Linked DNA regions of Mus musculus. The protein of the gene in region 1 purifies or fractionates together with the protein of each later gene. This does not show direct contact. Links are inferred from orthologs where the notes say so. Each region holds a gene or a part of one and is shown in the gene's direction. Other genes may lie near its edges.

Region 1 (3,272 bases):
TCTGCCCAGCCCACAGCACTGTCTGGCTCTCCCTTCACACCAGCCACTCTGGTGACTACTACAGCAGGAGCTACACAGCCAGCTGCTGCTGCACCCACTGCTGCCACCACCAGTGCAGGGTCTACACTCTTTGCTTCCATAGCTGCTGCTCCTGCCTCATCCAGTGCTACAGGGCTCTCCCTCCCAGCTCCGGTGACAACTGCAGCAACTCCTAGTGCTGGGACTTTGGGCTTCAGCCTCAAGGCCCCTGGAGCAGCTCCTGGTGCCTCCACCACCAGCACCACCACTACCACTACCACCACTACTACCACTGCTGCTGCCGCTGCCGCCTCTACCACAACCACTGGCTTTGCCTTAAGTCTGAAACCCCTGGTGTCAGCTGGCCCCAGCAGTGTAGCAGCTACTGCTCTGCCTGCCTCCAGCACAGCAGCTGGGACTGCCACAGGTCCAGCGATGACCTATGCACAGCTGGAAAGCTTGATCAACAAGTGGAGTCTGGAGCTGGAAGATCAGGAGCGGCACTTCCTGCAGCAGGCCACACAGGTCAATGCCTGGGACCGCACACTGATTGAGAATGGGGAGAAGATCACCAGCCTGCACCGAGAGGTGGAAAAGGTGAAGCTGGATCAGAAGCGACTGGACCAGGAGCTGGACTTTATCCTGTCGCAGCAGAAGGAGCTGGAAGACCTCCTGAGCCCATTGGAGGAGTCAGTGAAGGAGCAAAGTGGCACCATATACCTTCAGCACGCTGATGAGGAGCGTGAGAAGACCTACAAGCTGGCTGAGAACATTGATGCTCAGCTCAAGCGCATGGCACAGGACCTCAAGGATATCATCGAGCACCTGAACATGGCTGGTGGCCCTGCAGACACCAGTGACCCATTGCAACAGATCTGCAAGATCCTCAATGCACACATGGACTCTCTTCAGTGGGTGGACCAGAGCTCTGCCCTGCTGCAGAGGAGGGTGGAGGAGGCTAGCCGTGTATGTGAGGGCCGGCGCAAGGAACAGGAGCGCAGTCTGCGCATTGCCTTTGACTAGCCACGCGTGAGTGGGGGGAGGGGCTCCTTGGGTTGCAGGGCTGCTGCCTTTCCCGTGGTTGGTTGTTGAGAAAAATGCTCTTTGTTTTGATTCCCTGTTATCAGAAGTGTTTTGCAAAGGCATGATGTTCATGGATATAACCTGTGTGCTCTGGAGACCAATGTGAAGGTCACTGAACTCTCGGCCAGCATTTAAAGAACAAGGGCAAGTGGTGAATCCAGCGCTCCCTTGCAAGCTTCAGCTCTCCTTGTGGCAGAACTCATCCTTCAGCCACTCCAGTACTACTGTGAGGGTGGATAGGTGCTCCAGACGAGAGACTCACCTGGGGTGGAGACAGGCTTCTGTGCGTCTCTAATTCCTGTCAAGCCCGTGTCCTCCAGAGGCTCTGGCACATAGAGTGGAGTCACCAAAGCACCACTTTTGCACTGGCTACCTCTCACTCCTATCTTGTGCGCTTCTGTGGCAGGGACTGACTGCTGATACGTCTTTGAGGCCAAAGTGGATGCAGATTTGCTTCTGAATATCCCAGTGTCAAACCTATCTTAGATCCACAGTGGTGAAGCTGGCAGTCATGTCTATTTTATTTCTCTGCACTCTATTGTAGCCTTTGTGGTCCCTGATCAAAATGTTTGTTGCTTTTCTAAATAAAGGAAGATTTGTGAAACCAGACTTGCTGTGAGTATGGGTAGTGGGTCCAAGCTTTGGCAGGATAGGGCAGGACACAGCTGGTGTGGTGGTGGTACTCCTATGCCGCCCGGGTTGGAAGCGCTGGCTGAGCCATAGGGCCCAGTCTCTACCTTCATGGGGTGGGCAGGCTGCAGGTGTGAGAAGAGTCCTGTCTACCATTGTGCCTAAGTGGTAAGTCATCCATTACCCTAATACGTGCAGGTGTCATTGTGATGTCATCAGCAGTGGGAAATGAACACTGAGGGGTGATTTCCAGATGCTGGTCTCACTTAGGCCCGGCACTTGGCTATAGGACTGGGGGACCTTGAACCAGCAGTGGGGCCACTTGGGTCATGTTGGGTCATGTTGGCACAGGAGAAAGCTGGGGGTGGGATGAGCGGCTAGATAGAGAGGTAGTCGCTCAGTGGCTAAGAACACAGGTTGGCTGCTCTTCCAAGGACAGGACCCTATTTTGATTCAATGCACCCACGTGGTAGCTTACAACCACCCTGTAATTCAGTCCCAGGTTATCTGACCTCTTCTGGGCAGCTTGGGTACCGTCTGCACATAGTGCAGAGATACACATGTAGGCAGAGTCATAAAATCTCAAAGCGTAAAGAACTGGCATTGTGAACGCCTGTCACCCCAGTACTCTGGAATTCCAGATCATCTTGAACTACATTGCTACATAACCACGTAGAGGCAGGGCCAGTGAACTGGGAGGACGCAAGTCCTGACGACCCCAGTGGCCTTCCTGTGATGTGTGACATTTCATTGGTCTAAGACAGGATCCCCCCACTCTAGCCCAAGTTCTTGAATTGTTGTGAACTTCCTGCCTTAGCCACCTAAGCTCTAAGACTATGGGCAAGACACTACAGCCCAGCCCTGCACTCCATGACTTGACTCCCAATTGATTATGATGCTTAGGTCTCAGTTCCTCTAAAGATGTGTCTTATATACATGATTGTCATTGGTGGGCTCAAACAATAAGGGTGTGCGTTTTAATAAAAATGCATTTTAATGTGTGTCCTTGTTCAGGATTGTATATTGGACCTAAAGATGAATTCTATTTTGAAGATAGGGCCTGCATGTATGCTAAGTGCACACTCTGTCCCTGCTACTACATCCTAGTGACCTTGTAGTTTAGAAACATTGAAATTATGCCCTGACATCTGCCCTACTTTGAAGAAAAGAGACTAGATCTCTGTGCTGGGGGAATTGGGGAGGGGTGCCCAGGATGGCAATGCTATTGGCAACCTGCTGGGCATGCCCAGGTTACACTTACAATTGCAGTTTCCTTCTCTAGGAAGAACACAGGCAGATGCCCTGCCTTGCTGACCGGTCTCATTAAATCACCATGAAGACAGCAAAGGTGACTGATTGCATGGGGAGCCTATTCCACACCTCTCCCTGGATAGCCAAGGGCCAGTCTGACCCAACATGGGGGAACTAGCCTGGCCTAGTGTGAAACTCAAGAAAGGGGGAAAAAGTGTAAAATGTCAAATAAGAGGAAGTTGTGTCCATGTCACGCTAAGGCCAAGAGGGAGCTGGAGTTGAAACTCCAC
Region 2 (4,138 bases), about 57 Mb from region 1:
GCACCAGATCCCATTACAGTTGGTTGTGAGCCACCATGGGGTTGCTGGGAATTGAATTCAGGACCTCTGGAAGAGCAGCCAGTGCTCTTAATCGCTGAGCCCATCTATCTCTCCAGCTCCTTTAAGATGTTTTTGTTTGAGGGAATCATTTAAAATTCTTAGCAAATCTCGTTTCAGTTCTATATTGATTTCCCAGGACGTGGTGGAGAGGTAGTATGTACCTCTTTTTTTTTTTTTTTTTTTTTTTTTTAACACAGCTCCTGTTATCTGTGAGACCTCAATAATTTAGAGAGGTCTGGTTTCTAGAACATGCCCACTCTTCTGCTCTCTGCTAGATCCTAGGAGAAAAGACACCAAAAGGATGAAAATGAAGCTTTGGCCCAGATCAGGGGAGGGAGGAGGCATAGAACGGAAAATAAATAAGATACAAAGTAACAAGGTCTTTACAAGCAGACTGCCTGAACTTCACCGGGACTTGTAAAGGTTACCAAATGTGTCCTGGAGAAGGCCGCAAGAAACCCAGAACAAGTATAGATTCTGAAAGTGCAGCTGAGGCTGAAGGGCCAAGAATCTCCTCATTGGGCTCAAGCTCTGTTAAGGCAAATCCATTGCTCAGGTCTATTCTAGAGATTCAGAGGGGGAAAGTGTACGGCGAGGGCTGGCTTGCGCTGGAAAGAACAGTGGGGAGTGGAGTGTCTGCAGACAATCTGTGGATTGATGGGTTTCCAGGAAGGGTCCTCCGGCTCTCCAAGTGCAAGCTAGGTGGCCAAGGAGCCTTCCCATCATTGCCCGCAGACAGGAGCTAGAGAAGGATAGAACAATTACCAGGTCATCCTTGGGACTTCCTTCTGATTGGCCGGAGCTTCCGTAGCGAGTCTCCGCGCTCCAAGGAAGGGGGCGGGGCCTGGACACAGCGTCACTGCGGTTTGGTGCTCACTCCTCTAGCCACGCACCAGCCCTCTTCGAGGGGCCTGTGTGACGTCATGAGCCTCTCTCAGCCAACCGTTGCGGCAGAGGGAGTGGGACTCTACATCCCTCCCCATCGTCCCTCCTTTCCCCCCCCCCCCCCCCTTTCCCGGCAATTCCTTACGCTCCTCCTCTTCCCCTCCGTTCCTAATCAGAGACCGCCTCCACGTTCGGTTTCAAAAGGATCGTCACCCAATGAATAACGGTGTGGGCCTCGAGTGGCGGACCGGCCCGCCAATGCCCGGCCGCCAAGGGCGGAGCGGCCGGAGCCGATCTCTGACGGTGGACGGCGTGTGACGCAGTCAGGCCTCTGCGCGCTGCGCCCGAAGCGGCGGTCGGTGGCAGCGGCGGCGGCGACGACGGTTTTTCTGGAGGCCGCGCGGTGAGCGGCGGGTGACGGGCGGACCTGGGCTCTCACTCCAGACGCACCGCTGTAAGTCGGGAGCGCTGCCGGGGCTGGGCGGGTAGATCTTCCTCTCTGTACCGGCATCTGCGCTGGACGCCCGGGGCCCTCTCCGCCGCCGAGTCTCGTGCCGGGCGCGCTCCTTCGGGCCTGCGTGAGGGGGCGGGGCCCGGGGCCTGCGGCCTGGCTCGGGAGGCCCTGGGAGGGGATCCAACTGTGTGGGGCGTAGGCCGGAGGGGTCTCGGGTCGCAGCCCACATTGAGTGAACCTCGCTTTCTCCGGTGCTACTCATTCATTCGCTGGGTGGAGGTGAGCAGCCCGCGGTAGGCAGACCCTTGCAGGGTGGTGCCTTGGGGGGACTTCAGTGAGGTCTCCCCGTCACTTCCTTGACCACTCTACAGGACACGTTTTGTCTAGGGTTCAACCAGAGGGTTGAGTGAGTCAGAACTGTGTTTAGCTTTTTAAGACACTGACAATTGTCTGATAAATAAAATGAAGGGTTCTTTCTGTTCCGTGTAAACCTAGGTGAGAAAGATTGAATTTCTGAGTAACTGGAGCCATAAGCGTTTAAATTGTCAATCGCCCCCACTCTGCCTCAAGTACAGAGGCTTTATTAGTGGGAGGTAGGTAGAGGAAGAGAATCCAGGTGTCTTGATTCAAGTCTAGTAGAATTTGTATACTCTTCCACCCTTCCTCTATGTTCCAGTCTCCCAATATTGGCAATTCTCTATTTGGTAGGGGTAAGGACCCAGCATTTGACATAATTTTCAAAAACACTTCTAGTTTAGCTGTTTTCATGTTCGTTTATATATAGTAAGATAACTTGATTAGTAGTACCCTGATGGGGACTTTTTTTGCTTTTTTTTTTTTTTTTTTTTTTTTTTAACTTCGGAGACAACCCTTGGTTGGCCTGGAATTCGCTATGTAGACCAGGCTTGCCACAGACTCAAAGAGACCACCTGCCTCTAACGCTGAGGTAATGAGATTAAAGGTGTTTGCCATCACATCCAGACTTAACATAGACTTTTGAGAACAAAACTTTAAAAATGATGAAATTGGCTTTAACCTTGGCAGTGCACACCTTTTATCCCAGCACTTGAGAGGCAAAGGCAGGAGGCACTCTGTGACTACAAAGCTAGCCTACTCTTCATACTGAGTTTCAGGACATCTAGGGCTGCAGAGACCCTGACTCAAAAAGCCAAGTGGGGTGGGGAATAAAACCAAGATAGATGTGGTGCAGGCCTGTAATGTCACCAGTTATGGAAATTGAGGCCAGAGAACTAGAGCATACACAGGCAAAACACTTATGCACGTGATAAAAGAAATAATTGAATTCATTTCAGTAAAATGAAAAAAATGAGGCTTAACGTGTTAGAGGTACTGGGAAATACATTGATAAAATTAAATCTGCTACTTAAGATTTGATGGAATTGTCATTTTGATCTGAATATATCAATCAGCTTGTAGTTTTGATGTTTATATAAACCATAAGACCTAAAAACAAATAATGCAAAAGCACAGAAGAGAACTGAAGTCTTAAAAGTTGTAACTTGGTGTTTTCTGTATCATTTTCTCAGTTTGAGCATCACCACCTGACTCACTCTTCCTTGTAAGTTTCCATAGCACTTAACCTGATCTTCTGCTTGTAGCAGACATTTTACATTTTAGCTATTTGACATTTTACTAGATTATGTTTTGTTTTGTCTTGTTTTGTTTTGTTTTTAATCTTGCTGGCTGTGATGGGAATGCCTTTAATCCCAGTACTCCAGAAATACAGGCAGATGGATCTCTGGGAGTTTGAGGTCAGCTTGGTCCGTATAGCAAGTTTCAGGCCAGTCAGAACTGCATAATGAGACCCTTTCTCAAAACACACACACACCAAAACATAGATACATATATTTCTTAATATTTAGGTAATGTGGCTCATAGATGTTCCTTAGTTGTATTTGTGAATGAGCAAATACAGAAAAGTTAAACTGAGAAATACTCTGGAAAAGAGACTAGATGTTTGTGTACTTATGAAATACTCTGTGCTTTTGTTGGTAGCCATTAGCTCCTAGGTATCTAATTACACTGGCAGGGCACCAAATTCACATTTGGGAAAACAGTATTATTTGTGTGGTGATAGTCTAGGACATCAATATTGTAATACTGATTAATTTCTAGTAAGAGGCTTTGTAAAATTCTGAAATTCTATGCCTTTAATCCCAGCACTCAGGAGGTAGAGACAGGGCAATCTCTATGAATTTGAGGCCATCCTTGTCTACAAATCCATCATCAGGAGAGCCAGGGCTGTTACTCATGGAAACCCCATCCCTCCCCCATATACATATATATGTATACATATGTAATTATGTGTATATATATTATATAAATCTTAGTAGATGCCAGATGTTAAGCATTTTATGAGGATTTAGTGTGCTGTGCTGGAAATTCAGTACATGCTCACAGCAAGATAGTTCAGTACCAATTAACCATTCTTCCCCAAGTTGTAACTACCAAGGTTAAGAAATTATTAAAATTATACCTGAATGAGATGACTGCTTACATTTTAATAAAACTATTCTTACTTTGCTTGTAAAGTCAGTTCATAAATTGTCTAAGACTTTTTTTTTATTTGAGACAATATTCATGGTGTGTAGCCTAAGGCTGACTTTAAACTCCTAATTTTTCTGCCTTTCCCTTTCATGTACAGAGTGGTATATGTCACCATGCCCTACTTTCCATGAAAAACTTGTCAAGTACTGTTCTTGGGAAATTCTAAAACTA
Region 3 (4,239 bases), on another chromosome or scaffold:
CACCACACCAGTGCTGATGCACACCAGGGCCAGAAGATGGCAATAGACCACTTGGAACTGGAGTTACAGCCATCGGGTCTGCTACTGAAACATAAGGACTCTTGAGCCATCTCTCCACCCCCAACTCGGGACAGTTTTTGTTCCCAAGTGGTTGTCACAGCTCTGCTTGAAGAACTGCTACTGACTGGTGCCATTTAGTAGGTGGAGAGACCAAGGCTGCTGCATCTAAGTGTTCTACATTGTACAGAACCACCTCCCATAATAGAACGTTCTCCTTCGAAACGTCAGCACTCACTGTTGAGAAACACTACTCCACACAACATGTTCAGCATGAAGATTGTTTTTCTGGGTGGTTCTTCTGGAATACACCCACCCTTTTGAGACTGCTGAACAGGGAGATAAGCTGCTTCTTAGAAGGAACTACTTGAGTTCGGAAGAAGGCGGAGCTTAAGTTCAACTCTCCTAACCGTGTCTGATGTTCTTCAGGAGAGAAATAACTTCTATCTCACGTGACGTATACATACGGAGTGCTTCCCTCTGTAACCGAACGTTAGGTGGTGGTGTTGCTACTGCTGTCATGACTCTTAAAATATGAAACAAAGTCGAATCCTAGGATAGCATAACACCTACGCCGGCCAACAGCCCGGGCGGCGGCCGGGACCCAATCCTATAGCAAGAGATCCACCTCGCTGGCCAGGCACACCGGGCACCTGCTCCACAACCAGTGCTGAAGCGAGCACACCGAGGACAGAGGTCCTTGGGAAGATTAGGGAAGTGATGACAACCCAAACTTCACACTCACCTGCCTGAAAGTTTCTTTCCAGTGGGGCGAGCCCACCTGCTTGTACAACAAGCGGTGCGGAGACCCCGAGGACTCTGCCATCTCCTCCCTTAGCGGGAAACAGCGCCCAAATCACCGCCCCTTAGCCGCGCGCAAAGGATTCTGGAAGTTGTAGTCTCGGCGCAGTCTGTCTGTACTTCAGGCCGCCGGGCTTTCTTGGAATTGTATCTAGTTTCTATCCCCTCACAGTGACAGATTTAGGGGAATCCGAGGATAGATGAAGCAGTGACAGTTGAGAAGTAAACACCACCCGGGCTGAGGGAGGTGAATCTTGAGAGAAAGTTCTGGGTTTACCCAGAGGAAGTTGTCCAGTAGACAATCAGACACACATCTCTCATCCTTAACGCTACCCCCTCACTGGCCCAGCAGCAGCCCCAAAGCGATCCTTACACTCCACTCCGCCCCGCCCCGCCCCGCCCACCTTGGCTTCAACCCGCGGCCCTGTCTATCCTCTAGCGATTCTTTCTTATTGGGCCAACTTCTCGAGATTCCTACACTTTGATAGGCTGAAGCTGTGAAGTGCTGGCCGCGGATTGGCTACGCACAGCAGCGGGCTTCGTTTCCTCCCGCCCCTCAATCCTGAGCTGTTAGTTCAAGATGGCGGCTGCCGTGGGGCCCTTGGGCGATGGGGAGCTGTGGCAGAGCTGGCTTCCTAACCACGTCGTGTTCTTGCGGCTCCGCGAGGGCGTAAGAAACCAGAGTCCAGCCGAAGCGGAGAAGCCAGCGGCTTCGACTTCACCCTCGTGCCCGTCTCTGCCGCCGCATTTGCCGACGAGAAACCTGGTCTTCGGCCTCGGAGGGGAACTGTTTCTGTGGGACGCAGAAGGCAGCGCCTTCTTGGTGGTTCGCCTTCGAGGCCCCAGCGGTGGTGGCGTGGAGCCTCCTCTCTCCCAGTATCAGGTGCGCCGGTCCATCGTGAAAGCAATCAGCCTTTTGGTTCGTTGGCGGACCTGGGCTGGCGTCTTTTGGGAACGCCCCACTTCGAGTGGAATGACCCCGCTTTGTAGCTCAATCTGGTCTGGAATCACTATGTAGCCCAGGCTAGCCAGGAACTCCTGCCCCAGTCTCTGAGTGTTGAGATTACGGGTCTAAGTCATTTATAAACACCAAAACAGAGGCTAGGCCTGTGTGTGTGTCCAGCACCTGACATAAACCTAGAGCATGCACAAGCTCCGTAATATCTGTGATTTGCTTCGGTGGGGGTGGAGGGGTTTGTTGAGACAGGGTTAACAGCCCTGGTTGTTCTGGAACGCACTCTGTAGAGCAGGCTGACCTCATTAACAGAGATCTGGAGGATCCTGATCAGAGCTAGGATTAAGCCATGTGCTGCCACTGCCCAGTTCTACAACAGGCATTTAAAGACATGGGCCTACAGATTTAAAAGCAATTAGAAATATTATTATATTCAAAAGAAATCCTTATTTAAAAGGATTTTTGGCTTAGTATAATTCTCCATACTAAGGTAAATAATATATTGATGGTCTCATCATTATTTACGAATAATAAAAAGAAATTAGAAATCTAAAATGGTCATGAGAAAAGAAATAGGAAGTACCAGGGTGAGAGTATTTTTGAGGCTATATGATGCTATGACAAATTATTGAAACTCCCTTAAACTATCACTCTTTTATATTAAGTCCACGTAGATGAAGCAGTACTGCTTGCTGCAAGGCGCTTGAAGGTAATCTAGGGCCTTACCTGTGACCTTGGGTGACCTGGAGCTCAAACAGAGCCACCTGCACCTTATCTGGTGCTGGGAATAAAGGCGTGAACCTTTACACTTGGCCTGAAGCTCTTCCTTTCTCTACAGTACAGTTATAAGATGGTAATCTGTTGATACTTCCGAGTTTATGTATTTACTGGGTATCAAGAGTCTGCTTGAGGCCAGGAACACAGAAGAAAAATCTCAAGTAGCGCCTACTGGGTTATGTCAGGGAAAGTTTAGAATGTTTAAGACCTGTGGTATTACCCAGAGCTGTGGTGTGGAACTACAGAAAACATGCCTTTGTTCCCTGGCCGCAAGATCAGGGGTAATTTCTCCCTTTTTTTTTTTTTTTTTTTAAGTTTTTGTTTTTAAATTTTCTGGGTATGTATGTTTTCCTGCAAATGAGTGCTGCATATAACATCTATGTGCCTGGTGCACACAGATGCTACAGAGCCACCGTGCGGGGGCTGGGAATTGAACCCAGGTCCTCTGGAAGAGTAGCCCTGTGGTTTTTATTTTCAGTTTGTGTGTGTGTTTGGTGAGAGAGAGAGAGAGAGAGAATATGAATATGAATGAGCCCCAAGAATATGGGTGCTGGGAACCAAACTCAGGTCTTTTGCAAGGGCAGCAAGTGCTTTTAGGTGTTGTCATCTATCAAGAACCTAGAGATTATTTCTTGGGGAATAATCAGCTAATGACACAGTTAGTACATGCTCAGAATGCTATTTATAACTTTAGAAATTTAAAACGTGATTATGGTTTCAAGCAACTCTGAAATAAATTTATATTAAAATTAACTATTTTTACTAAATGGTTTTACTTTCAGAGATTACTCTGCATTAATCCACCCTTGTTTGAAATCCATCAAGTCTTGTTGAGTCCAACCCAACATCATGTAGCACTTATCGGAAGTAAAGGACTTATGGCATTAGAATTACCTCAGAGGTGGGGGAAGGACTCTGAATTTGAAGGTGGAAAAGCAACTGTGAATTGTAGGTAAGTTGTATTTTCATTTAGTATTTATCTGTGTAAGTTGCTAAGACCCAAAATGGTTGAAATGTATTTAGGGGCCACTATTGAAACATTTGAGCATTTGTATGGTCCTGCACACTGACTTCCTGTGGTACTATTGTTGTCCGTTCTTTTTTAAACATGTATGAGTGGTTTGCCTTCATTTAGTAAGTGCAGTGCTTGTGTGCCTGGACAGCAAGAAGAGAGTGTCAAATCTCCTAAACTGGAGTTAGAGTTTAGCTGCTACGAGGTTGCTAGGAGCCAATGTTGGATCCTCTGCAAAAGCGGCAGGTGCTCTAAACTCCTGAGCCACCTTCCCAGTCCCTGCTGTTATTTTTGAAGAATACTGTGTTAATTTTTTTTTTGGATTTTAAATTTTTTTTAATTAGGTATTTTCCTCAATTACATTTCCGATGCTATCCCAAAAGTCCCCCATACCCTCCCCCCCAACTCCCCTACCCACCCATTCCCACTTTTTGGCCCTGGTGTTCCCCTGTACTGGGGCATATAAAGTTTGCATGTCCAATGGGCCTCTCTTTCCAGTGATGGCCGACTAGGCCATCTTTTGATACATATGCAGCTAGAGTCAAGAGCTCCGGGGTACTTGTTAGTTCATAATGTTGTTCCACCTATAGGGTTGCAGATCCCTTTAGCTCCTTGGGTATTTTCTCTAGCTCCTCCA

The links.
Region 2: the proteins of Nup62 (region 1) and Nup98 purify together in Homo sapiens (affinity purification with western blotting; 3 studies listed by BioGRID and IntAct, with this or other methods). This does not show direct contact. The link is inferred for Mus musculus from reciprocal best matches to the Homo sapiens genes NUP62 and NUP98.
Region 3: the proteins of Nup62 (region 1) and Nup88 purify together in Homo sapiens (co-immunoprecipitation; 4 studies listed by BioGRID and IntAct, counting the BioPlex papers as one, with this or other methods). This does not show direct contact. The link is inferred for Mus musculus from reciprocal best matches to the Homo sapiens genes NUP62 and NUP88.

The regions. Positions count from the first base shown.
Region 1 is NC_000073.6:44,829,103-44,832,374, forward strand, and holds the end of Nup62 (nuclear pore glycoprotein p62), read left to right. Parts: coding exon 1-1,041; 3' UTR 1,042-2,734; downstream 2,735-3,272. UniProt on the Homo sapiens protein: Essential component of the nuclear pore complex. The N-terminal is probably involved in nucleocytoplasmic transport.
Region 2 is NC_000073.6:102,207,279-102,211,416, reverse strand, and holds the start of Nup98 (nuclear pore complex protein Nup98-Nup96 isoform 1 precursor), read left to right. Parts: upstream 1-1,250; 5' UTR 1,251-1,399; exon of another isoform or gene 1,400-1,484; intron 1,485-1,506; exon of another isoform or gene 1,507-1,678; intron 1,679-4,138. Other genes in the region: Pgap2 (post-GPI attachment to proteins factor 2), read right to left, coding at 826-833. UniProt on the Homo sapiens protein: Plays a role in the nuclear pore complex (NPC) assembly and/or maintenance. NUP98 and NUP96 are involved in the bidirectional transport across the NPC. May anchor NUP153 and TPR to the NPC.
Region 3 is NC_000077.6:70,967,151-70,971,389, reverse strand, and holds the start of Nup88 (nuclear pore complex protein Nup88), read left to right. Parts: upstream 1-1,416; 5' UTR 1,417-1,438; coding exon 1,439-1,741; exon of another isoform or gene 1,742-2,303; intron 2,304-3,372; coding exon 3,373-3,542; intron 3,543-4,239. Other genes in the region: Rpain (RPA-interacting protein), read right to left, coding at 803-883. UniProt on the Homo sapiens protein: Component of nuclear pore complex.